Rattus norvegicus: one gene and its partners. The protein of the gene in region 1 purifies or fractionates together with the protein of each later gene. This does not show direct contact. Links are inferred from orthologs where the notes say so. Each region holds a gene or a part of one and is shown in the gene's direction. Other genes may lie near its edges.

Region 1 (4,614 bases):
CTCTGTTTTAACATCAGAAGCCATCTTATTATACCCTCAAAATAAGTTCATTCCTGATTTCTGTAAAACTTAATTTTACCAGGTCTTGACCCATTTTCTGAATTTTGACAGGTTCCACATCCTATACCCTGACCTTCACCCTGATAGATGTTCTGCCAAATAATACTGAAATGTTTGGCCAAATTACTATGTAACCCTTGAAAACGCCCATATTCTTGCAGTTTGGGGGGCCTAATATAAACCTCACCTTCTGTGTCCAGTGTTTTCTCAAACACCTATTTGGGGAGGTAGCCATGTCTAACAAAATAAAGCTTGTTTAATTTCACCAAGAGAAAAAAAAAGAGCTAACGCTCTTTACACTCCTTCAGTGGGATTAACAGTTGAGTCTCTCCTTATACTCTGCAGGTCTCTGGGGTCAACCTCAGGTAACCTGGCTTGCTGAGCCATCTTGCTGGCCTCCATGAGGTTTCTTATAGGAGCAACAATCTTGGAAACGATCTGTGACTCTACAGGAAAAATTTCATTTCTTTTATTTCATTTTTTAAAAGATTTATTCATTTATTATATATAAGTACACTGTAGCTGTCTTCAGATACACCAGAATAGGGCATCGGATCTCTTTACAGATGGTTGTGAGCCACCATGTGGTTGCTGGGAATAGAACTCAGGTCCTCGGGAAGAGTAGTCGGGCGCTCTTAACCGCTGAGCCATCTCTCCAGCCCCTATTTCATTTTTTAAGACAGGGTTTCATCATGTAGCACCGGCTAGCCTGGAATTTGCTATGCAGACCAGGAGGCCTCGAACTCATGGAGATCCTCCTGCTTCTGCCAGAGTTCTGAGAGTAAGTCGTTATACTTGGAGATTTTAATTTCTTATAGAAAATAAGTAATCCCACGATGACCTGTGAGACTAGTACTGAGTCAGAGTCAGTCTCTCTCTCTCTCTCTCTCTCTCTCTCTCTCTCTCTCTCTCTTTATTTAATGTACAGTTCACTGTCGCTGTCCTCAGACACACCAGAAGAGGGCATCAGATCTCCTTACAGATGGTTGTGAGCCACCATGTGGTTGCTGGGAATTGAACTCAGGACCTCTGGAAGAGCAGTCAGTGCTCTTAACCGCTGAGCCATCTCTCCAGCCCCCAGTACTGAGTCTCTTAAGTTTGCAAATGGCATGCCACAACCGAGCACCAACGTCGAAAGTGTGACTTCTACCACAGCTCCTGAGATTCAGCTTTGAAGGCAAACTCGCAGTTTGGCGGGAATGGGGGGCGAGGGGTTAGCTAGCGAGCGGCGGAAGTGACGTAAGGAGTTGCGCACTCGCCGGGGATGGGGGGGTGAGGAGAACTTTTGGTTGGCCCAGGAAGTATTGTTTTGATTGGTTGTTTTCTTGAATACTGTCCTGTCAGGAATTCGCCCTCAGTAAAGATGGCCGCGCGGGCTTCCATTTCTTCTTGGGGCCGTGTGTTTTTCTTAAGCTTGGCCTTGATACCGGAAAAAGTGAGATTCGTGAGTTCTGATTGGCTAAAGGTAGATGTGTCCCAGGCGCTGATTAGCTGGCTCTTCGCGGGAAGGAATTTGTGGCGCCAGTGCAAAGTAGCTACAACGCCGCCACGCCGGAGCGGCAAACACTTCTTAAGTCTTCTTATTTTCCGAGTCCAAACTTCTTGGCCTCTTTCTCAGGAAAACTGCGACCAGGATGTGGAATAGTAATGGCGGGCATACGGGAGAGAAGGCAGAGAGTCGCGCGTGGGAGGGCAGGGCGGGAGCGAGAGGCCGGAGGCCGGGGCGGTGGCATTTGAGGGCTGGGAGGGGGGTTGTGGTGGCTGGGGCGGTGGGGACAGCGTTTGCCAGGTACAGAGTTGGGGAGCGCCGTGCAGATTCTGACTCTGTCGTTCACTACCAGGCGGATTCGAAAGCTTCAGCAGCTCCTCCTATGGCGCAGCGGGCGGCTACACGCAGTCCCCCGGTGGCTTCGGGTCACCCACACCGTCGCAGGCAGAGAAGAAATCAGTACGTAGAGTGACCCGCTCTGTTCTCATTTGTGTCCTCCTGTCCCGAAGGTCCTCACTGGTCCAGGAGGGAACGTGGTTTTGCGGGGGAGGATGGCACCCCAATTGGTTCGGAAGCTGTGGGTTGCCTACTTTTTCTCTTGTCTGGTCAACTGGGTAACCGTTTTCTCTAAGTGTTTGGCAAGCGTGCTGTGGTTGGCCCGGCCTCCACTTTCCTGCCCTACCGCTCAGAAAGTATGCTTTTGCAGAGTTAAATGTCGCGGTGCCCATCCACAGCTGGGACTACTAAAAAGCCTAAAGAACAAGAGTCCACTGTGTTCAGAACAGGTTTGGGGTTCATTCCTGTTGGAATTTGACAGGAAGAACGTAGTCATTGTATGACCAAGTGTTTGGGGGATGTTTGTTTGAGACAGGCTTACAGTGTAGCTCTGGCTGGCCTGGAACTCAGATATCCACCTGCCTCTCTACCTCTGGGGCTGGGACTAAAGATGTATGGCCACCAGGCTCATCATAGTGTTAGGGGTAGGGAGCAAGCAGTCTCTAAGGCTTACTGAGTAATTGCCCTTAACTTGTGGTTAACTGTTCTTTACCTTTTTTTTTTTTTTTTTTTTTTTTTTTTTTTTTTTTTTTTTTTTGAATCGGATGTACCTCTGTTGCCTAGGCTGATAGGGCTGAGGTGATTCTCCTGCCTTTCTGCCTCAGTTTCCCTGATAGTTGGGAAACGTTCTGGTGTTTGAAATTACCAGTAAACATTCTGAGATCCCAAATAAGGGGCTTCTTTCCATAATGTATCAGGATGTGGTCTTTTGTTTACATTAGTACTCTGCTTAAGCAGAGATAGTGTTGAGTTAAAGGCTTATCTTTTGTGCCGTTTCATTCGTTTTGTTTTTGAGACAAGTTTTTACTACCCATTTGTGTGTTGCCTGGAACCTGCTGTGTGTAGACCATTAATTTGTGGTGACCCTACTACCTGTCTCTCCTGACTGTAGGGATTACGTCAAGGACTACACAGGTTGCCTGTTGCCTCTGTGGTGTCCTGAACACTTTGCTCTTGCTGTATCTGGGATTTGCTCTTGCTATCCTCACTTCTCTAAGACAGAGGGGGGTGCGTGTGTGCGTGTGTGTCTATCCCTGGTTGTCCTGGAACTTACTCTGTCGACCAAGCTGGCCTTGGTCCACCTGCCTCTGCCTCCTGGGTGCTGAGATTAAAGCCATGGGCCACCACTGTCTAGCCCTGGGATGTGCTCTTGAAGGTTTGTTCTAAAGGCAGGCTTTCCTGTGTTGTCCTGACTCTAGTCTGACCTTTTCTTTGTGAACCCACAATATGATACAAACATCTCTCCACCTGGAGGTCTAGTATCAGATCAGTGTAGATGTGAATTCAAAAGTGTGGCATTTGCCATGTGTAGCAAACACTGTGAACCCTAGCACTTAAGGGGAGAGGCAGAGGAGTCAAATGTTAACTTTCTGGCCTTGTTTTCTGTCTCTTTGAAGCAAGGAGAACTTGGTTTGAAGTTTCTGGATTGTGGTATATACAGAGTGCTTGGCACATGGAGACCCTCGGTGAATGGTTGTTACTCTCTCAGGTTGACGTGATGCGTCCTTTCTCTTTGCAGAGAGCCCGAGCCCAGCACATTGTGCCCTGTACCATATCTCAGCTGCTCTCTGCTACTCTGACTGATGAGGTGTTCAAAATTGGGGATGTCGAGATTTCACAGGTATGTGAGATTTTGTGGAAGGACTGTGCAGGAATAGGATATAAGGGGTGGAAAGATGGTGGGGCCAGCATGAGCACTAGACCTCAGATCCATGTCCATGTACAAAGCCAGGAGTGATTACAAAACTGTAGGGTCAGAGACAGGAAGATCCTTGGGGCTTGCTGGCTCCAGGTTCAGAGAGAGACTCTGTCTCAAGGGAATAAAATCAATAGTGCTAGACCCGGTGGCCCAATGTCCTCTGGCCTCTGCAGAGGCATTCATTGCACATCTGTCTGCTCATTTGTGCACACCATTCATATGCATTCACGCAAGGAAAAGGAATTAAGACTTGCTTAATCGAAAAGTAGATAGCTAGTAACGTGCTCTATGGGTAGAAATGAATGCTTGGGCCTTTTGCACAAGCCTGATGACCTGAGTTCAGTCTCCACATTCTACACTGGAAAAAGAACTACATCCTCAGACCTCTGGATCATGGCACACATACGCACAATGGTAATATAACAATATTTTCTGAAAAGTATTTTTTAAAGCTGGGCAGTGGTGGCTCACACCTTTAATCCCATCCCTAGGGAGGCAGAGACAAGTGGACCTCTGAGCTCCAGGCCAGCTTGATCTGTATAGTTCCAGGATAGCCAGGCCTACACATTGAAACCCTGTCTCTTTAAAAAAAAAGTGTATGAAGGCATTCTTCCGTTGGAGCCTCTCTTGCTTGCAAGAGTAGTTTCTCAGTTTTCCTCATGAGTGTGTTCTATGCATAGAAACAGGTAAGCTTTGGACTGGACATGGCAGCTCATACCTGTAATCTTGGCACTCAGAAGGCAGGCAGGAGGATTTTCACACGTGTGAGGCCAGTCAGACCCATGAAACTAGTGAGACTATCTCAAAAAAT
Region 2 (4,006 bases), on another chromosome or scaffold:
ATCTTATAAAAATAAGTTAAGTGTGACATAAAGGGAAAGATAAAACTATAGATTTAAAGTACTTGTAATTCAGGAATGGAAAGTAATAGTTTTTTCATTTCTTGATAGCTCTAATACTTTGAAAGATGTCGGTATACATACATACCATAAAACTTACAGCAGATGATGGAAACAAATGCCTCTTCCATGTAAATGCTTTTCCTGTCTACACAGTCTTGTCAGACAGCTAGCTGTGGACATGCAAATGTTGTCTTTTTAAAGCTGTTTTATCAGGGTTATTTTTTCTGTGAAATGAATTGAAATACTGATGTTGTTTGTTTTTCCTGCCTTAAACTTGCCCTTAGGTGGTCGTTCTGATCGTCTGCAAATGAGAAATGATTTGGCAAAAATAAATAGTGTACTCACAGAGCACACAAATCGGTTAGCACCATATCAGTTTTTGACTGCTTTTTCGCAGTTGATCTCTCGAATTTGTCATTCTCATGATGAAGTTTTTGTTGTCTTGATGGAAATAATAGCCAAGGTCTTTCTGGCCTATCCTCAGCAAGCAATGTGGATGATGACTGCTGTGTCAAAGGTAATCATTAGTTAGCCACTTACTGTGTCAAGTTTTTTTTTTTTTGTTGTTGTTGTTGTTGTTGTTGTTGTTTTCTTTTCTTTTTTTCGAAGCTGGGGACCAAACCCAGGGCCTTGTGCTTGCTACCACTGAGCTAAATCCCCAACCCTGTGTCAAGTATGTTTAAAGCAAGTATATAAATACAAATTCCAGGGTCCTGGCCTATATTGTTAGTAATTTTCCTATAGAGAGAAAAATATAGAGTTTAAATATTTTGAGATACTTATCATATGAAATGAAGTTACCAATATGTGAAGAGTAAAGACTTGAGTAGTACTGTCTTTGTGAAGTTTTTAATAAATATTTATAATATAGCCACTTTTTAAAAGATTATTTTTATGTGTATGCGTGTTTTACTTGGATGTATGGCTATGCACCATTTGCATGCCTGGTGCTCAGGCGTCAGGAGAGGAAGTGTTGACTCGCTGGAACTGCAGTTAAGAACAGTTATAAATTGCCATCAGAGTGCTGGGAGTTGAACCCAGTTCCTCTGTGAAAGCAAGTGCTCTTAATCACTGAGCCATCACTCCAGCCATGTGAAGTTTTAAGTGTTTTATTCCAAGATCTTGAAAATCTATTAGCGGGCATATACAAGTTGATTAGTATATTTAATGAGTAAATATTATAGAAAAGTTAGTATAAAGATAAAAGGAAAATTAAAATTCAGACTGTTACTTTTTCTTGTAACTTTTTATGTACTTTTCTAATCCTATTTTAACAGTAAATTTTAATTAAGTTGACAATTATATTTTTACTTAAATATTAGATGATTAAATAACTTTAGTATTAGATAAATTATATAATATTCTTTGACAACACATTTTTGTAATTGGACAAAATTATAAAAATAGCTAACCATTAGTTCATTAAAGTTTTGTTTTATTTTCCTTCTGTTCTGTTGTGCTACGTCTCAAAATATTGGATTGTTTCATCAATGAAGATCCTATCAAAAGTATTCACAGGCTGTATGATTAAAATGGTGTTATCAAATTGATTTCCTAGACGCTTATGTTATAAACTCACATCTTAAATAGTCTTTTAAATTGATTCTTGCCAATCAGCTTTCCTATAGAATTGTATTTAATCCCCACCCCTTTTTTGATTGACAGTCTTCTTATCCCATGCGTGTGAACAGATGCAAGGAAATTCTTACCAAAGCTATCCATATGAAAAAGTCTTTAGAAAAGTTTGTCGGAGATGCAACTCGCCTAACAGACAAGCTACTAGAGTTATGCAACAAATCGGTACGTTCAGATCTTAGTGCACAGCAAGCCATGAGAGATAATATACAGAAGAGTTATATAGAAACTGGTTTGTGAGTTATGCTGTTATGTTTCATTAAAGTTTTAAGTACATCAGTATACACATACCAAAATATATCAAATGGTATATTTTAAATATATATCTTTGTATCTTTTTCCCCGACCCCTCTTCTTCATATGCTAGAGATTGAACCAGAAACCTAATCTTGCTAAACAAGGGCTTTACCACTGAGATATACCTCTACCCCCTGTATGATTTACCTTAATAATTCTGTTGTTTTAATTTGTAACATATGTCCCCCTTTCATATATCCTCAATGTTTCTGAATTTCCCTGAAAGTATATTTTAATAGTTATCAGTAGTTTTAAGTAAAAAATATTAAATCAACTATATAAAATAATATAAATAAATATAAAATATATTTAAAATGCATTAAAAGAGTCTTTGATTATATTGTCATATCCTTAAGTTTTGAAAACTTGCATGTCAGTCTACGTATCAGATAGGAAAATGAATGGAGAGTTTTTTTCTTGGTTAATTGATTGCCTTTAAATAGTGTTAGATATCAAACCCAAGACTTTATCCATAGTAGGCAAGTACTTGATTCATGAACCCTTGATTTTCATTTTTTCAAGGTATATTTCAATGCATAGGCATTGTGATGAAGGAACAAAGATGACTAGTAGAAATCTGTCTGGAATTGCTGGTACATTTGTAAGGAAGTAAGCAGTGGCTATCATCTGGAGTAGTAGTAATTATTTTCAATATGCTTGTGACTGAAGTAGGAAGGTAGATAAAGCAGTAAATCACTGTTCTATGTTAGGATTGGGGGGGAAGCTAAATGTAAGAGATCAAAGTATATGGGGTGATTATTAAAGGGAAAGGTTCTTCATCAGGTAAACCGCTTCATTTGACAATCAAAATCCAGTAACCATTTCTAGGTAAAAAGATAAAGGTTACCCTATTTTTTCCCTTCCTTTCATGAATAACCTATTCTCAAAAGCATAACCTTTCATTATTTCCATTAATTGTATTTGACCTCCGATGTACTTAACACTAGGAAAAATGTACTTATTGGATGCTGGCCCTATAAGTGCTTTACATGTTCAGGTGCTTAGTTCTTTATCTGAAACCTTAGTTTTTTTATCCTAACTACACTTAGGAATTCAATTTTTTTCTCATTTTAAAAGTATTCATACTTACATTGACTATTCTAACTGATGGTAATGTATCAGAATATCCAATAATCAAACACACATAGCATTCATCTTTACATTAAGAAATTCAGTATCGGGGTTGGGGATTTAGCTCAGTGGTAGAGTGCTTGCCTAGGAAGCGCAAGGCCCTGGGTTCGGTCCCCAGCTCCAAAAAAAAAGAAAAGAAAAGAAAAAAAAAAAAAAGAAATTCAGTATCATCTTGTTGTTAAATGAGGTTTGGTAACCAAAAAGAGTTATCTACAGATTTTCCTGATAATAGATCTCTGGTTTCTACTATCTCCTCTGGTCATTAAATACTCCTGTGATAGAGGCACATTATTTATAAGGTAAAAGATTTAAATGAGAAGATTAAAGATACTTAGGACATTGCACACTGTTGAATAATTGAGGTTGTGAAAGTAAAATGTTTAATGTAATTAAAGTTCTGTAATTTAAGGTTAACTCAGAAAAATTGAAATATGCTGTTTGTTTGTTTGTTTGTTTGTTTGTTTGTTTTTAGGTTGATGGAAGTAATTCTACATTGAGCATGAGCACTCACTTTAAAATGCTTAAAAAGCTGGTAGAAGACCCAACATTTAGTGAAATCCTCATTCCTTTGCAGTCAGTCATGATACCTACTCTTCCATCAATTCTGGGTGCCCATGCTAATCATGACCCCTTTCCTGGGCATTGGGCCTATCTTGCAGGCTTCGACGATGTGGTAAACTTCAGTTTTATATAACTATAATATAATTTTTAAATGTAGTTACCTTCAAATTAAATGTAGAGAAGTGAAACTGTCTTTACTGTAGTACAAAGCTAACTGATACGGAATCATAACAAGCCTAACATTTTGATCTTCACATGCTTTTATTTCACGATGACTATTTTCTCATTATTATATTTTCCTATATTTTCTTTTGTCTTAGAA
Region 3 (4,006 bases), on another chromosome or scaffold:
TCACCTCCGCACCCACAGCTGTGAACTCCTCTGCACCAGCAGGTATGGCTCCAGGAAGGATTATGGGCTGGGTTCAACCTATGAGTCATGCCAAGCAAGGACATAGCATAGTGGATGTCCTGTGGTCTGTGTACCATGTGACTAACATTCCTTAGAGTGTGTTCAGAATATACAACCGGTGTACCGTGAACCACATCCCCAGTCTCCAGGCCCCTTGTCCTCCCTGCACTACCGACCATCAAGAGCCTGGGGAGACCCTGGTCATGAATAGACATGACCGAGGCCACATAAGAGTGAATCACTGTGCCTTGTTGGGAAGGAGAGTGCTACTTGCTCCTTCAGGCATGTGGACACTCCTAAAGGCTGTAGAGGCCATGCTGGTGTGGGCAGAGGACAAGGTTCTGCTTCTGGGCACTAGCCCAGCTGCACCTAGTCTGCCCTTAATGGTGAACTCATTATCCCAAGTCCTCTCCGCTGCTTGAATCCTGGGGTCTGCAAACACATGTGGTCAGTTAGAGCCTGCTTTCTGCTCCTCCTTGACAGACCCTTTCTCTGCTGTCTCCTTGCTTGCAGTTCACACCTAAATCAGTGATTTTGTTCTCTACAGAGACTTCAGTGAACGCAGGTGGTGTCCTCACTGTCCACCCCCTAGAAAGAGCAGTTAGATCTCCCAGTTGTGAGATCTGAAGCAGAGGCCATGGCCTGACTATAACTAGTGCTGTGTTTCACTCACAGAGGCCCATCCATCCATGCCAACCTGGCAGTCAGTGCTGGGTACTTGGTGCTTAACTCAGTGTGGCCATACTGATCAGACCTTTCAGCTTGGTCAGCTTGTGCTTTCTTACTCGGGAGTTGGGAGGAAGAGTATGGAAGGACGCAGAGCTCTCACCACCCACCTTCTTCTGAGCATTCTGGCCTCATCTCTAGATTCAGCCTTTCTAGTCTGCCCCTGAGCAGGCCCAGGGTAGCCAGCATGGATCACCCATTTGTTCTCTGTGTAGCCTATGCCCTACCCCATTTTCTCTGTTGCACACTCATGGGTTGGGGTCTTGGGTTTGCTGTTCTGCCTTCTGTTTCCCTACTGCTTCTGTCTTCTTCAGAAGATTTTCCCTAAGAGAAGAGTAAAGGCCAGGGCTGGCCAGACTCTGACCTCTCCTGAAGAGCCAGCTGTTTTGTCTTGCCTTTGTTCATCCTTTCCTGAGAGCGCAGTAGAATGGTCTTAGCCTGACGCTTCTGATCTCTTACCCCAGACAAACCCCTGTCTAACATGAAGATCCTGACTCTTGGTAAGCTCTCCCAGAACAAGGACGAAGCAAAGGCCATGATTGAGAAACTCGGAGGCAAGCTGACAGGATCTGCCAACAAGGCCTCCTTGTGTATCAGCACTAAGAGTAAGTTTGACGGGCGCGTGCCTCTCAGAGGTGGTGAGGGTTCTGTGGCACAGCTAGGGTCAGACACTTCTCACTGTAGCTTGTAGGTAAAACTGGTATTTGTACTGTATTCCGTGTGTTCACACAGGCTCCTGGTCCCAGTCAGACCATAAGCTTACACTGCTCAGTGTTCATGGATGACCCTGGGTTCCTTTGTAGGCAGGCGGAGGTTACCACTTTGTGGTCTGGTGATGGATGCCAGACCCACATTTATATTAAGACTGTTCTGCTAAGTGTTATGGTCTGGGCCTAAGAGTCCATTTCTGCTGAGTGCCTCCTGACACCACACTCAGGATTTAGAGAAGGTGGCCACCCTTGGCTTTGTGGACCAGAGGGACAGCCAGTACCACTGGAGCGTGACTGCTGAGATGAGGTTCAGCGTACAGCTTGGGAGAGAAGTTGTTGGTCATGGGGTCGTTGGCCTTCTCAGACTGTAGGAAGGTAGCCGTTCAGCTTATCGGTTGAGGTTTTCATTTCTCCCTGTCTGGTTGTAAACAGAGGAGGTGGAGAAGATGAGTAAGAAGATGGAGGAAGTGAAAGCAGCCAATGTTCGAGTCGTGTGTGAGGACTTCCTCCAGGATGTGTCTGCCTCAGCTAAGAGCCTCCAAGAGCTGCTCTCAGCCCATAGCTTGTCCTCGTGGGGGGCTGAGGTGAAGGTAGAGCCTGGTGAAGTGGTGGTCCCCAAGGGGAAGTCAGCTGCACCCTCCAAGAAGAGCAAGGGTGCTGTCAAGGAGGAAGGTGAGACCCACCTGCCCTACCTGTGACCTTGGTTCTGTGTCCCTAAGGTGCTGTGGCGAGCAGTATCCTTAGTTCAGTGAGCGGACACAAAGCAGCAGGCCCTGTGGGGCAACAGGTGGTGTGCAGGTGCCATGACAGATGCCTCTGGAAACTGTTCTGCCTTTGCCTAAGTGGAGTCTTTGTGTTCCTCTGTCCCTTCCTTCCCAAGGTGTCAACAAGTCTGAAAAGAGGATGAAACTAACTCTGAAGGGAGGAGCAGCCGTTGATCCTGACTCTGGTGAGTGATCAGAGCCTCCCATGCCCTGGGAGATTAGGAGATGTCTCTAGTCAGGGTAGCTAGAGGGGAGCAGGCCAGTCCTGGACGCATGAGGGTCAGTGGGTACCTCTAAAGGTGTTGTGACATGAAACTAGCTGGGGACATGAGGCCTCTGTTCACCCTCTCCCTTCAAGGGAGAAAACCATAGGAGCTTTGTCTCTGGGGCAGGTCTGGAACACTCTGCACATGTCCTGGAGAAAGGCGGGAAGGTGTTCAGTGCCACGCTTGGCCTGGTGGACATTGTGAAAGGGACTAACTCCTATTACAAACTGCAACTTCTGGAGTCCGACAAGGAGAGCAGGTGAGCCTGGGCCTCCACACTGAGTGTGTGCTGCCCACCTGTGGAAGTCAGGCCGCTGCAGGGCCTGGAGCAAGAGAAACGGTCACAAAAGCCTATAGCGTTTGAAGTTCCTCCATAAAAAATAGCCACTCCTGAGTATCACTTATGCTGCCTTGCTTAACCATCACGGGTGTAGCTCCACTGATCCACTGGGCTATTCTGTTAGCCTCGAACTCGGAGGCCCACCTTCCTGTTACTTCCCAAATGCTGTGATTAAAGGCGTGCGCTACCACACCTGACTTCAAATTTATCGTTTTATGCTATTCCACACTTGCTGATCACTAGAATGAAGGTTATAGTTTAAACATCCTCTCTCAGTTATAGATGCTTGCCTAGTGTGTTCGAGGCCCTGGGTTCCACCTGCAGCACCACTCAATCAACACATGAAGGAGAGAGTGTGCTTTTAATGCTGCCCCTTATGGAGGAGGGCCTAACAGAACAGAAGCTCACCCTGGTCTCTGTCCCTTTACAGGTATTGGATCTTCCGGTCCTGGGGCCGAGTGGGCACAGTTATCGGCAGTAACAAGCTTGAGCAGATGCCGTCCAAAGAGGATGCTGTTGAACACTTCATGAAGTTATACGAAGAGAAGACTGGAAATGCCTGGCACTCGAAAAACTTCACAAAGTATCCCAAGAAGTTCTACCCTCTGGAGATTGACTATGGCCAGGTAATCACAGTAAGGTCTGTTCCTTTAACTCCACAGATATGTTTAAAGAAGAGTTAACAATACCAGGTGACGAATTCTTCCCCCCAAAGTGGAGGAAAACTTAACCAACTCATTCCATGAGGCCAGTGTTACCAAAGAACATCAGAAGAATATGCTGAACACCATCTCTGTAACGTAAAATCCTAACTAGTAAGTCAGGCCGTGTATGAGGTTTGTACACCAAGCTCAAGTACAATACAAACAAGTTTGAGGTTGTTGACATTTCAGTGTGCCCTGTGAGTGAGGGGTAGACGTCACATGAGCGTGTGGGAGCCACAGAAAACATTTTGTAAAATGTATACCATAAAGCATCGAATGAGTAAGAAAGGAGTGGAGGGAGCTCAGGCTGGGTTTGAACTCACATCTTCCTCAGCCTCCTGGGCACTAGGATTACAGGTGTGTGCAGTCGCAAGTGTTGTCAGGTCCACTGGTAGTAGATATTGGGGCACCAAGGAAAGGTGGTTTCTGAAGTTGC
Region 4 (4,501 bases), on another chromosome or scaffold:
AAAGGCTGGGGGTATTTCTTGTAGATAGACAGCTTGCCTATTTTGCACAGGCCTTAAGAGTCAATACCCACTACTGAAAAATCCCAAACCAAAACCCACCTCTGCATTTGTATTATAAAACACCATGAAGATGGTAAAATAACTGAAGAAAATGAAACATCTGCATTAAGTTTCCTGTTGGGGGAATGAAATACTTCCTTCTACAGATTCTCAGTGACAGCTAGAGATGCAACTCAGAGGAAGAATGCCTGCTTAGCACGCACAACAATCCCAGGAAAGATGATGCCCCGCCAAATGAATCTTCTGCAAGGCCCCTTAACTGAGCTACTATGATTGTGCACTGTTTGGAATGCTGCAAACCCAGAGCCAAATTATCTTGAGCCATTTTAGCCTTCTTAGTAGCCATTTATTGTCCTCCTCTGTACTTAACATGTTTCTATGACCACAGGGTAAATAATTTGGAATGTACAAACAGCACTACCTGTCAACAAACTAAAAAGCCAAGGACAATGTCGAGTATCTTAGGCCTCTAATAGAGGTTCTTCATTATACTTTTTCCCACCTACTTAATGGTCACACCAAATGTATTGGAAAAGTATCTTCATTTATGACTTTCCTTGTTCTGTTAGTATAAAAACTTCATGAAACTGCTTCAGTTGAAATATAGCATTTGGGGTGGTCTAAATCTGTGTTCCCAGGCCGTGGTTATTGACATTTGCCTCCAGCACAGATTGTCTCTTAATACGTTAGGGTTCTCCCCCCCCCCCCCCCCCAAGGAATCACCTTTACCGTGGCTGATACTGGTGCACACAAAACTCCAAGTGGAATGTCCCTTTAGATTCTAAAATTTCTTTACAGTGCCTCTTTCAGTTTCCTGAGAAAATACATGTGGCCCAAGCCACCACCTCAGACCTTACACTAATGTTGGACCAGTCTGCCTTTGTCAGCAACGGAATTGTAAGGTTGTCTTATTTTATGGCTTTCTTCTACCAAGGGAAGAAAATTTCTTTAAACAAGATTAAAACGAGGTGGGAGAGGGAAATTTGTATGTTCTCACTCAGATTTCCAAAACTCAGGGTCTCGCATACACGGAGGTCACTAAGAACAAATATAGTCAGGGCTCAGGAGAAGAAATGAGGCAGGCCCTGTTAGGCATTACATCAGATAGAGAGAGGGTCTGACCTATGAGAATATCCTTGAGGCATCAGGGCAGTGGCTAGAAGTCATGTTCTTGCCCCAAGTCCGTCATGACCTTGAGCCAGGTGCCTCATTCTAGACGCTTCGATGTTTTCCCGCGCAACTCGCTTCCGACCACGTCAGAACTCGGTGGAACCCTGGCGCGCCACACCGCCTTTGAATCGCAGCACAAGGCGGAGCTCCCAACCCTCACGTATCCTTATTGGTTGGTTTTCTCAGACTCTTTCTTTCGATTGGGCACTCGCAGTGCCGATCACCGAACGTCACTGGTTCCTCACATTGTTGCAGGAAGGAGTGGGCGTAGACATGTCTCCCGGGGAGCTTGTGGCCTCCAGATTCTGACTTGCTTTCCGGCCCCTGGGCCGCTACACCTTGAGGAGCTTTTTCAGACGGTCTGAGAAGATCCGGGGTGCCCAGGGCATTCCAAAGCCACTCCGCCCCCCGCCATGTCTTGGAAGTTCAAGAGGTGAAGGGCTGAGGGGGGCTGGGCGTGAGGCCAGTTTCTCTGCGTTTTGCTCAAGTGAAGGTGCGCGCCCGGGCAATAGGTGCAGCTTGTATTCCTGTGGTGCTGTTTTCATTCCTTCTGCGGGTTCTTGCTGGTGTTGTGGTGGAGGTACCAAAGCACTGTCTCGGCTGACCCGAGAATCGGCTGCTAAGACCTCGGGGAATCTGCGTCAAAGACTGCAGGGGGGGATCTGAAACCCGACCGGAATGATTTATTCACCATTGTTATCCCAATGTTTGCTAGCCATTTTATGGCAATCCGATCCTGTGTGTCTCCTGGTACTGTGCAGAAGCTTACTAAAACGTATTTGCAGAGGAGCTGAAAGGGAAACTCGCTACTTGATAGCCCTGTGTGTTTTTAGGAGAATGACAACTTCTAGGAGGCTTCCAGCAAACGCATCTTTTCATCATCTATAGTGGTCTTCATGCCCAATTCTTTTTTTTTTTTTTTTTCCAATTCTTGCAATAATTATCCCTATCCTTTAAAATAATAGGGCGATGTATACGTAAAGGGGCTTCAGGTCAGCTCTCTATGATGTCCCAAGTTTAGATACCCAATTTAATGTGTTCTGTTCAGAAGGAGTTAAAGCAGAAGATGCTGTGCATGTATTTATGTCAAAAGTCAAAAATATTTTCATAGCCGGCAGTGGTGGCACGTGGCTTTAAGAGTACCTTGGAGGGAGAGGCAGATGGATCTCCGACTTTGAGGCCAGTCTGGTCTACTGAGTGAGATCTAGGATAGCCAGGGCTACACAGAGAAACACAGTCTCAAAAAAAAACAAAAGAGAAGAGGGGAAGGGAGAGGAGAAAAGAGAAATAAAAAACGAAAAGAAAAAAAAATCTTGTAATGGTTATTTTGTTTTTATAAATCCATTTCTTCTTCATCACGTAGGCACCGAAAATTTTGACATTGTAATTGTAGCTTCCGACTTTAGATAGTTTTCTTTTCACCAGGAAAGCAGTTCCAGTATCTAACAGGTCAGATTTCGGATAACCTTCTCCACTGGATTCTTGATTTATTCAGGGAAATTGTTAAGTGATTGTTGCCACATAGCATTTCATTTGCTAAAATAAAATATAAGGAAGTGATCAGCCTGAAACTAGGAGGGAAAACTTAATCAAGTTCTGTGGTTTTAGCTTTCTGTTTTGTTTTAAAATAGGGATTCTGTTTGGAAGTATTCACAGTCTGCCCAGTATGGAGCCCATGAAAATATTCCAAGACTTTCATACCCACCTTTCTTTCCACGTTTTGAATTCCAAGACATTATCCCTCCAGATGACTTCCAAACTAGTGATGAAGAGCTAGATTTGGTTTTATTTGGAACTATGAGAGGACAAGTTGTTGGAATACGCTATTACACAGGAGTTGTAAGTATAGGATTAGATAATAAAATTGTATTTTTATGGTTTTAACAGTAAATTATATTAAAAGGTGATATATACAATTAATGTTTTACTTTGAATGAAAGGTTAGTCATGAATACCTTTACCAACTTTGACCAATTTTTTACCATTTCTACCGTGCTTGCAGTATATAAAGTACTTTTGCCCACACATTTGATCCTTCTAATTACTGAGGTATGTGGTAAATTTAAGAAATGACTTTTAAAAAAAAGACTTTAAAGCCACCAGGTTTTGCATTTAGTTTTTATCTTTTATTTCCTGCTCTTTCTAATGCATTCCTGTTCTCTGAACTGAATGTGTGTATATGTGTGTGTGAGAGAAAGAAAAGGGGACAGATTGAGAATATATATAATTTTCTTTGGACAATAATCCTTATTAGTTTCATCTTTGTCATTTAGTAATATAATTTTAATGTTATCTAATTTATTACGAGAAAATTTCAAACAAAATGAGAATAAGATCAGTGGTTAGTAAGTATTTTCTATGTTTGCTTTCTTGTTTTTGGTCTTGTAAAAACAGATACCAGTTGTATCACTTTACATTAGTACAGTTCAGTGTATATCTCTTTAAAATGCAGTTTGGGGGCTGAAGAGATGACTCAGCAGTTAAGAATTCTTGCTGCTTGTACAGACAATTGCAGTTCTGGTCTCAGGACTCATGGCTGGCAACTCACAGCACCTACAGCTCCAGGTGTCCACTGCCCTCTTCTGGCATACATGACTACCCTCCCCAATACACACATGTACATGGTTAGAAATAAAAGACATCTTTAAAGAACCCTCACAGTTTTTACATTTCATTTTTATTAATGGAATTAACCCATATGTGTAATAAGCACTCAATAATTGCATTTTATTGGTAATTTAAAATGGATTTTTTCCAGTTAAGCTCAAGACAGGGTTATTATATTAGTTTTGGCTGCTATGGGCTATAAAGTCCATTCTAATTTCCTTTTATAGATGTGTATATTTAAAAATAAGGTCTCTTTTGTGGAATCTTGTTGATTTCTTACTTTCTCCTTCCCTCATTTTTTTCATATTTATTTTAAATTTATAAATTTATTTTATTTATGTGAGTACACTGTCAGACACACCAGAAGAGGGCATTGAATCCATTACAGATGGCTGTGGGCCACCATGTGCTTGCTTGGAATTGAACTCAGGACCTATGGAAGAGCAGTCAGTGCTCTTAACTGCTGAGCCATCTCTCTAGCCCTTTTCATATTTTTATATTAACACTCATTAAGAGTTTTTTTTTTAATCCCCTGTTGGAAGGGGTTTGAATTAAGACTCCAGCCTTGGCTGGTCTGGAACTCACTAAGTAATCCAAGGTTGACCCTGAACTCATAGTGAACTCGTAGTGGTCTGTTGTAAAAATATAAAAAATAAAATGCTGT
Region 5 (4,006 bases), on another chromosome or scaffold:
TGTGGGGGATTTTAATGCTTTAAAAATGTTAATGTTTCTCCCTTTCCATTTCTAATTTGTGAACTACAGTTATTTGTACTGACAATACTTGTAGAGTTCTTTTTTTTTTTTGGTTCTTTTTTTCGGAGCTGGGGACCGAACCCAGGGCCTTGCGCTTCCTAGGTAAGCGCTCTACCACTGAGCTAAATCCCCAGCCCCTGTAGAGTTCTTAATGTCATTTGTATGTGTTAACAGGATAAGCCATAAAGGGTTTATGAGCAGATCTAAAAATGTTTCCAGATTTATATTTGCCTGAAAGCCTTTAGTATTGTGTATTATACATACAATTTTCTTTTTTTTTTCCCAGACATTTTACACATGACTGTTTTTCCTTGAAATATATTTTGGAAGATCTAATTTAGGATTCCCCCGCCCCTCATAATTGTGTGTGTGTGTGTGTGTGTGTGTGTGTGTGTGTGTGTGTGTTTTATCATTCGTATTAGTTTTTTACAGTACTGTGATCCTACTTGTCTACAGAAACAACTTAAGGGAGGAAATTTTTATTTGGACTCACAATTTCAGGCCATCATAGTGGGAACCACATGGAGAGGCCATTCACATCACAGTGGAGCAAACAGGAAGCCAATGGTATAACAGGAATTGGGCCTGCTCTTTACTGGCCTCTTTTTACCAGGAAAGCACAACTTCCTACAGGTTCTACAAAAGCCTCCCAAAATAGCACCTTGGTCTGAGACACAGGTATTCAAAACAGGGCCTGTGGTTTCATGTTTAAAACGCAACACCGTAAAAATATACAAGGCCTTTTGGATATCAACAATACAGAAAGTCCCTAACATTTAAAAAGTTTGTTATTGTGTTAGATACTTGTAGCTGTGATCAAACAAATACCTGACAAGAAGCAACATAAAGTGGAGAGTGTTCATCTGGCTTACAGTTTGAGGGGATACAATCTGTCACAGTGAGGAAGGCATGGCAGGAGGATTAGGAGGTAGCTGGGTTTTCTGCATCCACAGTTAAGGAAGCAATAAAATGATTTAGAGGTCTCAGTGCACTTTGCCCTTTCTATTCAGTCTGGAAGACTAGTCCATGGGATTGTGCAATACATATTCAAACTAGGTTTCCCATTTCAATTAACCAAATCTATAAGCTCTCTCATATTCATCTCTCAAGGGTTGTTTCCATGGTGACTTTTATTTTATCTATTACTTCTGTGCATTTGTGTGCATTTCTTTTCCAATGTCATAGAGCACATGTGGAAATCGGAGAACAGCATTGGGGAATCAGTTCTGCCCTTCTACTATGGGTTTCAGAGATTTGATTCAATATTGAACCATTCCACTAGCTCTTCAAGCTTATTGAAAATCCCATCAAGTTGACAGTCAAAATGTACTATTGCAACTCTATTTGTTACCTTGACACCCAAACACATCACATTTTTTTTTAAAAAATGTATATACTTGTTTTATGCATGTAAGTACATGACTTCAAATGATCTCATGGTCTTTAGTACAGTACTGTTCGAAAGTGTAAGGTCAGAGTCTTAGTGAGGTTTAACCTACCTCCTATCTGTTAGCCTGTATAACATTACAGAACACACTTTGTTCTTCTACTATACGATGGTGCAGAGTGGGTGTTCTGCTTCCAAGAGGAAGAGTGATGATACAGCAAAAGAAATATCAGGCCAGTGTAAAGGCACAGTGCAGCAGAACAAGCACCAAACCCAGTAGCTCCGTGTTAGGCATCTGGGACTTGCGATGGAATCACTGGACTCCAGAGGGCTTGGGTAGTCCTGCCTCTCCTGCTCTACTGCCTGTAGTTCAAATAGCCTTCTTTGGGGCCATTTTCACTCTACACCTACTTTCCTCAGTAGACAGCCTATGGCTCTGTCATCGCCAGCATCCTAGGATCTCTCTTACAAACTTCTGCTTTACCTTCACAGCTTTACTCTCTGACCTCTCCGGGCCTCCTTGCTGGGACACTGCCGTGGGAGGACTCTGCACACTCATGGCCTCAGTGGCTCTCTAGAGCCATAGTGCAAAACCCAGTGAATCCTGCATCAACATTCAAGTTCTGCTACTATCTGGAGATAGAGCCTTGCCCCTTGGACCACAGTTGTAATTAACCTAGTGTGTCAACCATGGGGAAACACTTTCCTATATGATAGGGTTTTTTGTTTGTTTGTTTTTGTTTGTTTTTAGAGAACCCTTCAGTGGCAGTCTCAGTTTCCTGCCACGCCCCTCCCGCGCCCCTCCCCCGCCCCCTTATTTTAGATGGAGCCTTTAGTGGATAGAATAAAGGTTCCTTTGATCTCAGTGCACAGTGCCCATTTCCCTGTTAATGTGCTTATTTCTTTTACAGTTATCTTAATATTCTATTGCTGTGAAGAGATACCACACCAAGGTAACTCTTACAAAGGAAGCATCTAAGGGCTTGCTTACAGTTTCAGAGAGTTAGTTCCTTCTCACCGTGGTGGAGTGTGTGGAGACGTGGTGCTAGGAGCAGGAGCTGGGAACCCACCTTGCCTCTGACACCCGCTGAGCCAAGCTGCCACTGTTACATTCTTCCTGGTATTCTCATCTCTCCACTCTTTTGTCCATCCTCCCACCCCCATAAGCCATGCTCACAATATTCAAGGGCTTTTTGAGCTTTAAGTTTGAAACATCCACAATCCTCCTCATAAACCAGTTCCAGAGGCCTAAGAGTCCATGGTCAGTAGAGGCCCACTCCTTGGTAAGCGTTCTTACACATTGTTGATTAAATAACTGACCAGAGGCACCTTAAAGGAAGAGGGTATGGTTGTGCCTGCCCACATTGTGTTCATAGCCAGGAAACAGGGAGGGATGAACTTCTGTATCCTTTCCACTCACCCCATGGGATAGTGCCATATTTAGGGTGGATTTCCTCTCTCTGTTAACCCAGTCTAGACACAGACTCACAGACATGCCCAAAAATTTGTTTTCAGTGTGATTTTAAAATCATTTCAACTTGGTAATGGAGATTAACCATGATAATGATGTCACCCTGTAAGTTGTTTAGGTCTCAGGAAGTTTATCCGTAAAGGCGGTTGATGTTTGAGTCTCCGTCCATTTTGCAGAAACACAGCTCATTTATGACATAGCATGCTTGAGTAGTGAGTGAACTAAGTAGGCCTTACTGAAGCAGCGTTGGGACAAATAGCAAGTTCCCATAAGTTCTTTTGAAACCATCAGTATCTTTGGGATTTTACTTTTCTTAATACCTTAACAAAAAGCTGGGTCTTTCATTTTTGTACTATAAGGAAAGCAACTAATTCTATATAAGGGTTACAGAAGCTTAAAGAAATATCTAATTATTAAGTTATGGATGTATATTTTAATTTTCATTAACTCTTTACAGTTACTTGTGTGAAAAAATCCAAAAACCAGAATATTTCAACATACATTTCCAAAAAATGAGAGTTATAAGTTTCCACGTGGTCGAAGTACAGGGACGTAAAGATAAGATACTTGTTTTATGTTCACAGCGGCAGTACGGCTTAGATAATTCTGGAGGATACAAACAACAGCAGCTGCGACACATGGAGCTAGAAGTAACGAGGGGACGAATGCATCCATCTGAGTTCCACAGCAGAAAAGCTGACATGTTGGAATCAATCGCTGTTGGTATTGATGATGGAAAAACAAAAACTTCTGGTGAGTGCTTAAAAATTCAAGTCACAGTTTTAATATTGCATGTACCGCTGGAGGAATAAAACCACTGGAATTTGCTGCATTTTCAGTCAACAGTTTATATAATTTGAGGTGAAATTGTATGTTCACATATTGTTTACAAAACATTTTAAAACTTCTAAACTTCTATTTTTATAGTAAATAATTCACTTAAAATAATTTGTCTTCAATTGTATTAACTCACAACAATGGGAAATGAACCTTTTGAATTTTACATTTTATTAGCATATATTAATTCTATATAATAATGTTTCAATATGATATTTTTATACATGTATGTAATATATTTTGGTCATATT
Region 6 (4,549 bases), on another chromosome or scaffold:
TTACTTTATCTACTTACCTTTTTTCTGAGGTAAGTTCTCAATGTGCCACCAAGCCCAGACTATTTATTTATTTTAGTGTGTGTGTGTGTGTGTGTGTGTGTGTGTGTGTTGGAGGATAATATGCAGAAGTCAGTTCTCTCCTTCTGCCACGTGGGTCTTGGTGACTGAACTCAGGTATCAGGCCCAGCGGCCGGTCTGGTTTTTGTTAGAGAAAACATAAACAGTTGGTAGGTGGCGGGGAACCGTTGTTCTAACAAATATCGGAGGCAGGCTACTTTAAAGAAAAGAGGGCCCTCTTGGCTCAAAGTTCTAGAAGCACAAGGTTCACAGGGAATGACACAGGCAATGTCTAGGGCCTCTTCTGGTGTCACAACTATGGAAGTCAACTCATGCATTTGTGCCTGTTCACTTTCTTTCCTATAAGAACCCCACCAGGATTCTTGTTATGTCCTATTCTAATTCCAAAGATCCCACCTCTAAATGCCACAGTTAAGCCAGATAGTAATGACACATCCCTTTGATTTCAGCACTCAAAAGGCAGAGACAGGAAGATCTTTGAGTTTGAGTCAAGTCTTGTCTACAGACTGAGTTCCAGGACAGCCAAGGGCTATACACACACACACACACACACACACACACACACACACACACACACACACACACACAAACCCTGTCTTGAAAAACAGAAACAAAAATGAAACCACAGAAAAACACCATAGTCCTGTTAACTTTCCACTCTTACGGTTTGTTTGTTTATTGGGACATGCTTTCTCTACACAGCCCTGATTGTCCTGGATTAGAACTCACTGTACAGATCAGGCTGGACTTGAACGCGGAGTTCTGCCTGGCTCTGCAGCTCAGTGCCTGTGCTTAAAGACTTGTGCAAACACACCCATCAACTTTCCATTCTTTTAAATATTCACATAAACGCCAGGAATTAAATTCCCTCGAGTTTAGAAAACAGACTATATTTAAAACGTAGCAGGCAACGAAGCCAGGGACTTGCCCAAATTCCCAGAGCAAGAGTAGAGACAGAACCTAGACAGTGTTAGCTTCTTTACTCATTTGTGCTTTATTTACGGGGTCACATTGTTTCTCAAAAGGCAGCCAAGGAACACAGGCTCAGAATCATACCTACAGACTCTCTAAGGCAGACCCTAGGAATCTGCATTTTTACAAGCTCCTGAGAAATCTGTCCTGCACACGAACATTTCAAAGACTAGTGTTCCCTGGGTGACAGCAGCTCCGCCTCAAAAACAGCCTTGGCCAGATTCCTAGGTTTAAGATCCCCGCAGCCTCATGGGAAATGTAGTTTCTGCTCTCCTTCCCGCCTCAGGCCTCTTGGAAAACTCGCCGGAAGAAGCCGAGCCAATGCGGAAACAGCCGAGTGTTCCGAGGCGGGCCTTTTCCTGCTCGGTTGCATGCTGGGAAAGGGCAGTTTCCGTTAGCTGCAGAAGGCTGAGGCGCGCCACCGGCCACCTCCCCACGTGAAGCAGTTGTGCGAGCATCGCCACGCCGGGCAGCTGTCTACCCGCGTCCGAGCGCTCCGGAAGCGGCGGGGGACCGGAAGTGGCCCGCGGAGGCTGCAGAGCTAGTCCGGGAACCCGCTGTGAGGCGACTGGCAGCAGCGCTACGACGGCGCCATGTCCCTGATCTGCTCGAGTGAGTGCTGGCTGCGGCGGGAGGCGGGAGCGTGTGCGGCCGCTGTGGCTCGGGCCCTAGAGCCCCCGGCCCTGCGTGCAGGGTGCATTTGCGCAGTGATGCGCAATTCACGTAGCTGGGAAGAATGACTGTCTCAGGGGTCTTTTGAAGCCAGCGTCGTTTTACAGAGCTGAGACAGGCCTGAGCAGAAGTGGGGGGAGGAGCTGGTGCAGTGAAAAACAGCTCTTGGTGTCAAAAACCCGAGGACGTGTCCAGGATCCGCCTCCGACTGTGATCTGGGCTCTAGCGGGTTTGGGCCTCAGTTTCCCCACCTGCAAAATTGAAAGCATTGCAATGGATATTGCTTGGGAAACCTCGCTTAGGAATTGGAGTTTCTGATTTGCAGAGATCATGCAGTGACTTCGAGACCAGGGCTGGAAGCCAGGTGTCTGGCTTCTAGCCTCGCGCAGTATGACTAATGAAAACAGCGAATGTTTAGAAAACCTGTATTGATTTACGATGCATTTCCAAACGGTGATCTCATTTTATGCTTACAAGAATTGTCTGAAGGGAAATAAAGATCCGTGTGTTACAGAGGTTGTCGGAAGACTTGAAGAATGGGTTTATCCAGGGGTGTGCGACGAAACTAAGCCATGGAGCTCGGTTCTTTGAGCCTGGATCCATGGTTTTCCCATGTAGTATATGGTCTTGTCTTTGGGTGTTGTATTACGGCATTGCGGGTGTTCTCCCAGTTGTTTACCCCATTACTAGTTTCCTCACTTTCTCTCTTTCCCTCTCAGAACGTTGCCATTAATTCAAAGAGGGAAAGGAAGGAGGGAAATGACAAACAGAAAAGGAAGTCTCATAGTGAAGAAATAGCAGTTTGCAAAGTATTTATGAACGATTTGTTTCCTTTTCATCTTTGAAACAACACTCTTACATGCCCAGGGCCATCCTTCCTCTGGTAGGAGAGGGAAAGCTCTCAGAAAGCTTCAGTCGTTGAGTAGTGAGATAAACCTACAGAATAGGACAGGAAAGCCATATACAAAAATAGGGATTTTAAGTACTGAAACAAATACTTAATTACATGTGCATGGAGTCCTGCAAAATTAAGTGACTCTAAGGGAAGACACTGAGAAGGATAGGAGCTTGAAGCCTTGGGTTGTTGACTCACAACCTATGGGAAGGCGAATAGAATTATGTGATGAATAAGAGCTGTTTTGTGATGTGATAAGTCACTATCTTAGAGCGGCCTTCAGAAGAGTCTGATGTGGAGGTAGCTTTCACTTGTCTGCTTGAGTGATCCAGTTGTCTTTTTTAGGGGAAGGTAGAGAAGCAAGGGGGGTCTGAGAAGGTCAGAGAGACCTTGGTTCTTGCTTTTGAGGCTTTTTTTTTTTTTTTTTTTTTTTTTTTTTTTTGGTAGTTTGGCATGCCCAGGGCTCCATACTTTGGGATATTCTTTTCTGAGCCCCAGTACTTTTGCACTTATTTAATCTGCTCTGATGTTTATCAAGTGTGTGCTTCGCTTCTGCATTGTCCTGGAGGTCAGTGACAGCTGTAAGTCCCATCTTCAAGGGTACACAGACTATTCTGTCGAGCGCTTAGAATAGAATTCTGCCTGGCACGTAGTAGCAGAGCAATGGAAAGTTTTTGTTTGTTTGTTTTTAATTTATCAGTGCTTGTCACATGGCTTTGTAATTTCTCTTGTTGATCCATCTCGGGCTCCCGATGGATGACAGAAGTTTGAGTTGTGCTCTGTGTACTTCTCTGTCATGTGCCTAGTCATCTGGGTTCAAAAAAGAGATCGACCACTCTATACCGCACTGGCACATAGGATCTGGGCAGTTATTATTTATTGACTTTTATTATCAGCAGACCAGAGATTCTAGGTAAGTAGTTGGCAAGCATTGTGGGACCAAGTACAGGCAGGCTTGCTGTCACAGACCTTGCTTCCTGATAGCTGACTATAAAGGACAGGGTCTTGTTGGGGCTGACACAGTGAAGAGTCTCCTTTTACCCTGTGGCTCACTACCTGTCTTTCTCTATAGTCTCCAACGAAGTGCCAGAGCACCCATGCGTGTCCCCTGTCTCTAATCATGTGTATGAGCGGCGACTCATTGAGAAGTACATTGCAGAGAATGGCACAGATCCTATCAACAACCAGCCTCTCTCAGAGGAGCAGCTCATCGACATCAAAGGTGCCTGCCCAATAGCCTTGGTCCAAGGCCATCTCAGCTCAGCCTTCAAGAGTGGGAGGTGGTGCCAATCTGGTGGAGAAGATGGTGGCTGTGAGTGGGGGAGGGGAAGAGTTCCCGGGTTCTAGTTCTTCATACCTGCTTTGCTGCCTCTCTTGGCAGTTGCTCATCCAATCCGGCCCAAGCCTCCCTCTGCCACCAGCATCCCAGCCATTCTGAAAGCCTTGCAGGATGAGTGGGTGAGTCTGTGAAAAGAATGCACCTCCGGGGGCTGGGGATTTAGCTCAGTGGTAGAGCGCTTACCTAGGAAGCGCAAGGCCCTGGGTTCGGTCCCCAGCTCCGAAAAAAAGAACCAAAAAAAAAAAAAAAGAATGCACCTCCGGGCTAGGACCTGAGGATTGAACAGATGAGGCCTCCCTCCCTCCCTCTTTTAATGTAGTTTTATGTTGTGTATGGCCTTTTGCTTACATGTATGACTGTGTATGACTTACGTGCCTGGTGCTTGGGAGGCAGGAGTTGGTGTGTGATCCCTTGAACTGTAGTTATGAACAGTTGTGAACCACCCTGTGGGGTTTGGGACTTGGACCTGAGTCCTCTGGAAGAACAGCAAGTGCTCTTAATTTCCGGGCTCTCAACTCTCTGCAGGCCCTCTTACTGTCTTGAGATAGGACTTTGCTTTGTTAGACTAGTCTGAAACTTTGATCCTTTTGCCT
Region 7 (4,006 bases), on another chromosome or scaffold:
GGACAGAGTCAGAGTCATAACAGATTAGCAGGAAACCCATGGGGCAACGATCCACAAATAGAATTTAGGAATCTCAGGTGTCTCCTGGACCAGGTGCTCAGGAGCCAGTTTCTTTGGGGGTTAAAGTCGGGTTCCTAGAGCCCTTAACTCCCTCAAGCCCAGGCTCCAGCCCCAGAATTGAGTCTGTCCCTCAGCAAGGATGCAGAACTCTCTCTGTCTTTTTGTCTGGGCCTCTGAGAAAGCCTTGGGTTGGCTTGGCTTTCAACAACAACAACCTGTTACTATTTACCCAGATTCTTTTTTTTTTTTTTAAGATGTATTCATTCATTATATATAAGTACACTGTAGCTGTCTTCAGATACACCAGAAGAGGGCATCGGATCTCTTTACAGATGGTTGTGAGCCACCATGTGGTTGCTGGGAATTGAACTCAGGACCTCTGGAAGAGCAGTCAGTGCTCTTAACCACTGAGCCATCTCTCCAGCCCCCTTACTTAGATTCTTAAAGTTGAGAAGCTTTTGGCTTTTTATTCCCATTGTAGTCCCAAGCTCTGAGGAGCAAATAAATGTGAAGAAAATGAATTCTGGGGCCTGTAGACATGTCTTAGTAGTTAGGAGTACTTACTGCTCAAGCATGAGGGCCTGAATTCCAATATTCAGCAACCTTAGAAAAAAAAGAGAGAAAAAAAGTACAGCATGCCTTGACCCCATTGCCGTGGGCACAGCCCTGTGGGCACAGCCCTGTGGGCACAGGCAAGGAGACTTGCTGGTTGGCTAGTGCTATAGCCTAACTCTAGATTCAGTCAGATAGCACAGGCATATAAACACCACACAAGTTCTTGCTTCCCTCTCTCACCAAAAAAGGAAGAAAGGTGGACACTTTAAGCAGAATTTTTATCATCTTGTTAAAACTATAACAAAAATATCCAAAGCTAAAGTTAATATCTAAGGAATGTCTCATATTATTTCTCAATTTCCTAAATGAACGTTTTGGTTTTGGTTTATTTGGGGTTGGTTTTCTTGTTTGTTTGTTTGATTAGGGCCTGCAGCTTCCTATGTGGTCTTTGCAGTGGTGGGATTATGGAGGGCATTACCTTACCTATCCCGAGCTGTACTTTCGTGCTTGGTGTCCACATGCTGCAGCACTGTTTGTTGGAAAGGCTTGACAGAACTCCTTCATGCCTTTCCAGAACTGTGCTTGGCAGATACTTGTGGATCTTGGGTTCGCTGTGTACTCCACTGATCCCCCTGTCTCTCCATCACTAGCACACAGTATGAATTGAAGTTGCTCTGTTGGGTCTTAAAATATGTACATGTAAGAACTAACACTAGTTTCTTTTCCAAATTTTTTCAACTAACTAGACTTTTACTTCTGTATATAAAATTCAGATTAACTTGTTTACATGTGTAAAATGTCAGAATTTTAACCCTGTTTTTTGGAGAATCCATTCTTTCTTGTGTTCACATGTTTGTTGTGGGTCTGTAGAACTATGATTTTAAGATACATTTATGCTATGTCTTCTACTCTTTACATATTACCAGTTCTAATTTGTTTTTCTCTATGAGTAGTTTTCTTAGGATTTTCTACACAGACTATCTTAACAGGCCACATTTTGTTACTTTCTTCCATTTCTGTGTCTTTGGATACGTTACTTAAATTTGAATCCTACTTGTCTTTCAGGACATGTGTAGTCTTCCAGATTACGTGACGTTCAAGAGTTTCCCTGGCATCCCCCTGCAGCACATCTTCATTGCAGCTGGAGACGACCTGCTTGAGCTCATACAAGGCTTGTTCTTATTCAACCCATGTACTAGAATTACAGCTTCACAGGTACTCAGCAGCATTAATAAAACAAACTCAGGTTTCTAAAGTTTTTAATATCCTTAAATACCAGGGCGAGAGGTCTATCTTTGGTGTGTGTGTCTGTGTCCTTTCCTGAAGCTATAGACAGTGTCTGGCTGATAGGAAGTCTTGTTATGCAAACATCACATAAGAGTTTACACTTGTTAGAGGTGTGTGTGTTCTCACGCCACTGACAGATTTCAGATGGATTGTTTTAATTATGTGTATGGATGTTTTGGCAGCATGTATGTTTATACACCATGTATGTACAGTGTCCATAAAGGCCAGAAGAAGGCATCAGATCCCCTGACTCAGACTTACAGAAGGTTGAAGGGCGGATGTTGGGAACCAAACATAGGTCCTGTGGAGGAGCAGCCATTGTTCCTAACCGCTGAGCAATCTCTCCAGCCTGCTTCATTTGAGCTCTTTATTTTTGAGTCAGGACCAAGTTGGCCTTGACTTCAGTATGACATAGTTGGAAATGGTAACTTCTTACCTCTTTCTTCCTTTTGAGGGGGAGGGGGAGTTGAGGCAGGGTCTCTCTCTCTGTCGTCCTGGCTGTCCTTGAAGTCACTCTATAGACCAGGCTGTCCTGCCTCTGCCAAGGTGTGACACCCCCTCTCCCTGCAGTTTGTCAGGTTTGGGTTTTTGTAAATTTTTTGTTTGGTTTGGTTTTGCTTTTGGGGTTTCTTTGTTTGTTTGGTTTTTAGAGACAGTGTTTGTTTCTCCATGTAGCCCTGGCTGTCCTAGAACTCACTTTGTAGACAGGCTGGCCTCAAACGCACAGATCCACCTTCCTGTGCCCTCTAAATACTTGAGATTAATACTTCATTTTGTTTTTGTTTATTTGTTTTTGAGAGAAAGTATGAAGATGGGTAGGCGCAGAGGAACTGGGAGGAGTTGGGAAAGGGGGGGAATATAATCAAAATATTATACTTCAAAACATTTTATAAATAAGAGTACCTGATCTTCTTGACTGTTGGAGAGAGTCTAGAGTAAATAAATCACTGTGGCTGTTAACAGTACTGGCATATTATAAATAGGTATTAGTTGACAAACTTGTCATTTGAGAGGAAACCACTTTTATATAAAACTGTAAATTCTAGAACATTATACTCTAGTGGTTAAAGCAACCTTGGATTGGCCCAAACAAGTTTTTACCATTCACAGTAGATTATTGTTTTGTAATTTATTGGTTCCAGTTTGGGCTTTGTGGTTGTACAAATGTTAGAAGGGAGTGTGCCACTTCTATCCTCCAACCACATCCCCCGCCAACAGTATCAGCCAGTTGCAGGATACTGGGTGTTTATTTATGTATTGTGTCCAAATACTTGATGCTAATTTTTTGTTTGGTGCTATAAGAGTATTTGCATACTATTTTTAATGCTGTCAACAATTTGGGACTAGATTTTCCTACTCACAGTACAAACATTTAAAGCACCCCTTTTGAGCTGGGCATGGTGGTACATGGCTATGTACCCAGCACTCAGAGACAAGTTGGAGGAAGACAGCTACAAGTTACAGACCAGCCAGTGCCCCACAGTGACGTCTTGTCTCAAAATAGGACAAAAGAATAAGACCTTGCTTTCTTTTCTTTGAAAAGGCGTTGAGGACCAAGTACTTCAGTAATCGTCCAGGGCCAACACCTGGATGCCAGCTTCCAAGACCAAACTGTCCAGTGGAAGCATTAAAGGAACAGTCAAATCCAGCCATGGCGACAAAACGGAAAAGAGCGGAGGCCTTAGAACAAGGTAACAGTCCCCATCGATAAATGACATCAGAAAGCTCTACAGCTCATTATCGCTGGCACTGGAAGCCAGTTAGGAAAAGAGCTGTTCAGTTGTTTACGTAGGAAATAGAATGTGTTCCTCTTCTCTTCAGCCAAGGACACTTGAGGCACTTTGAGTATGCCTGAGAGTTCTAAGAGCTGTCCTTGATGTGTGCCTTCTATCCTGCACCTTTGCCAACCCGTTTATTTTTTTTTTTTTAAATACACTTTTGTGTGGCTGTGTGTGAATATATGTTATATATGTGTGGAGGCCAGAAGAGGGCTTCATTCAGTCTGGAGCTGGCACTGCAGGTGGCTGTCAGGTACATTTGTCCAGGAACCAAATTTGGCTTCTCTGGAAGAGCAGAAGTCCTCTTCATTACTGAGCCAAGTTTG

The links.
Region 2: the proteins of Rpa2 (region 1) and Atr purify together in Homo sapiens (affinity purification with western blotting; 3 studies listed by BioGRID, with this or other methods). This does not show direct contact. The link is inferred for Rattus norvegicus from reciprocal best matches to the Homo sapiens genes RPA2 and ATR.
Region 3: the proteins of Rpa2 (region 1) and Parp1 purify together in Homo sapiens (affinity purification with mass spectrometry; 3 studies listed by BioGRID and IntAct, counting the BioPlex papers as one, with this or other methods). This does not show direct contact. The link is inferred for Rattus norvegicus from reciprocal best matches to the Homo sapiens genes RPA2 and PARP1.
Region 4: the proteins of Rpa2 (region 1) and Hltf purify together in Homo sapiens (affinity purification with mass spectrometry, with the first as the bait; 3 studies listed by BioGRID). This does not show direct contact. The link is inferred for Rattus norvegicus from reciprocal best matches to the Homo sapiens genes RPA2 and HLTF.
Region 5: the proteins of Rpa2 (region 1) and Zup1 purify together in Homo sapiens (affinity purification with western blotting; 3 studies listed by BioGRID, with this or other methods). This does not show direct contact. The link is inferred for Rattus norvegicus from reciprocal best matches to the Homo sapiens genes RPA2 and ZUP1.
Region 6: the proteins of Rpa2 (region 1) and Prpf19 purify together in Homo sapiens (affinity purification with western blotting; 4 studies listed by BioGRID, with this or other methods). This does not show direct contact. The link is inferred for Rattus norvegicus from reciprocal best matches to the Homo sapiens genes RPA2 and PRPF19.
Region 7: the proteins of Rpa2 (region 1) and Cdk7 purify together in Homo sapiens (affinity purification with mass spectrometry; 3 studies listed by BioGRID and IntAct, with this or other methods). This does not show direct contact. The link is inferred for Rattus norvegicus from reciprocal best matches to the Homo sapiens genes RPA2 and CDK7.

Annotation. Positions count from the first base shown.
Region 1 is NC_086023.1:150,259,163-150,263,776, forward strand, and holds the start of Rpa2 (replication protein A 32 kDa subunit), read left to right. Parts: upstream 1-1,609; 5' UTR 1,610-1,694; coding exon 1,695-1,704; intron 1,705-1,901; coding exon 1,902-2,008; intron 2,009-2,100; coding exon of another isoform or gene 2,101-2,334; intron 2,335-3,623; coding exon 3,624-3,725; intron 3,726-4,614. UniProt on the Homo sapiens protein: As part of the heterotrimeric replication protein A complex (RPA/RP-A), binds and stabilizes single-stranded DNA intermediates that form during DNA replication or upon DNA stress.
Region 2 is NC_086026.1:105,379,069-105,383,074, forward strand, and holds part of Atr (serine/threonine-protein kinase ATR), read left to right. Parts: intron 1-344; coding exon 345-577; intron 578-1,725; coding exon 1,726-1,860; intron 1,861-3,595; coding exon 3,596-3,796; intron 3,797-4,006. UniProt on the Homo sapiens protein: Serine/threonine protein kinase which activates checkpoint signaling upon genotoxic stresses such as ionizing radiation (IR), ultraviolet light (UV), or DNA replication stalling, thereby acting as a DNA damage sensor.
Region 3 is NC_086031.1:94,856,252-94,860,257, forward strand, and holds part of Parp1 (poly [ADP-ribose] polymerase 1), read left to right. Parts: coding exon 1-42; intron 43-1,250; coding exon 1,251-1,391; intron 1,392-1,928; coding exon 1,929-2,168; intron 2,169-2,376; coding exon 2,377-2,445; intron 2,446-2,652; coding exon 2,653-2,785; intron 2,786-3,296; coding exon 3,297-3,492; intron 3,493-4,006. UniProt on the Homo sapiens protein: Poly-ADP-ribosyltransferase that mediates poly-ADP-ribosylation of proteins and plays a key role in DNA repair.
Region 4 is NC_086020.1:104,477,297-104,481,797, forward strand, and holds the start of Hltf (helicase-like transcription factor), read left to right. Parts: upstream 1-1,468; 5' UTR 1,469-1,643; coding exon 1,644-1,663; exon of another isoform or gene 1,664-1,723; intron 1,724-2,861; coding exon 2,862-3,069; intron 3,070-4,501. UniProt on the Homo sapiens protein: Has both helicase and E3 ubiquitin ligase activities. Possesses intrinsic ATP-dependent nucleosome-remodeling activity; This activity may be required for transcriptional activation or repression of specific target promoters.
Region 5 is NC_086038.1:31,344,146-31,348,151, reverse strand, and holds part of Zup1 (zinc finger-containing ubiquitin peptidase 1), read left to right. Parts: intron 1-1,939; coding exon of another isoform or gene 1,940-2,122; exon of another isoform or gene 2,123-2,381; intron 2,382-2,413; exon of another isoform or gene 2,414-2,567; intron 2,568-3,502; coding exon 3,503-3,671; intron 3,672-4,006. UniProt on the Homo sapiens protein: Deubiquitinase with endodeubiquitinase activity that specifically interacts with and cleaves 'Lys-63'-linked long polyubiquitin chains. Shows only weak activity against 'Lys-11' and 'Lys-48'-linked chains.
Region 6 is NC_086019.1:216,965,051-216,969,599, forward strand, and holds the start of Prpf19 (pre-mRNA-processing factor 19), read left to right. Parts: upstream 1-1,456; 5' UTR 1,457-1,643; coding exon 1,644-1,662; intron 1,663-3,689; coding exon 3,690-3,839; intron 3,840-3,998; coding exon 3,999-4,075; intron 4,076-4,549. UniProt on the Homo sapiens protein: Ubiquitin-protein ligase which is a core component of several complexes mainly involved pre-mRNA splicing and DNA repair. Required for pre-mRNA splicing as component of the spliceosome.
Region 7 is NC_086020.1:33,575,302-33,579,307, reverse strand, and holds part of Cdk7 (cyclin-dependent kinase 7), read left to right. Parts: intron 1-1,680; coding exon 1,681-1,830; intron 1,831-3,445; coding exon 3,446-3,593; intron 3,594-4,006. UniProt on the Homo sapiens protein: Serine/threonine kinase involved in cell cycle control and in RNA polymerase II-mediated RNA transcription. Cyclin-dependent kinases (CDKs) are activated by the binding to a cyclin and mediate the progression through the cell cycle.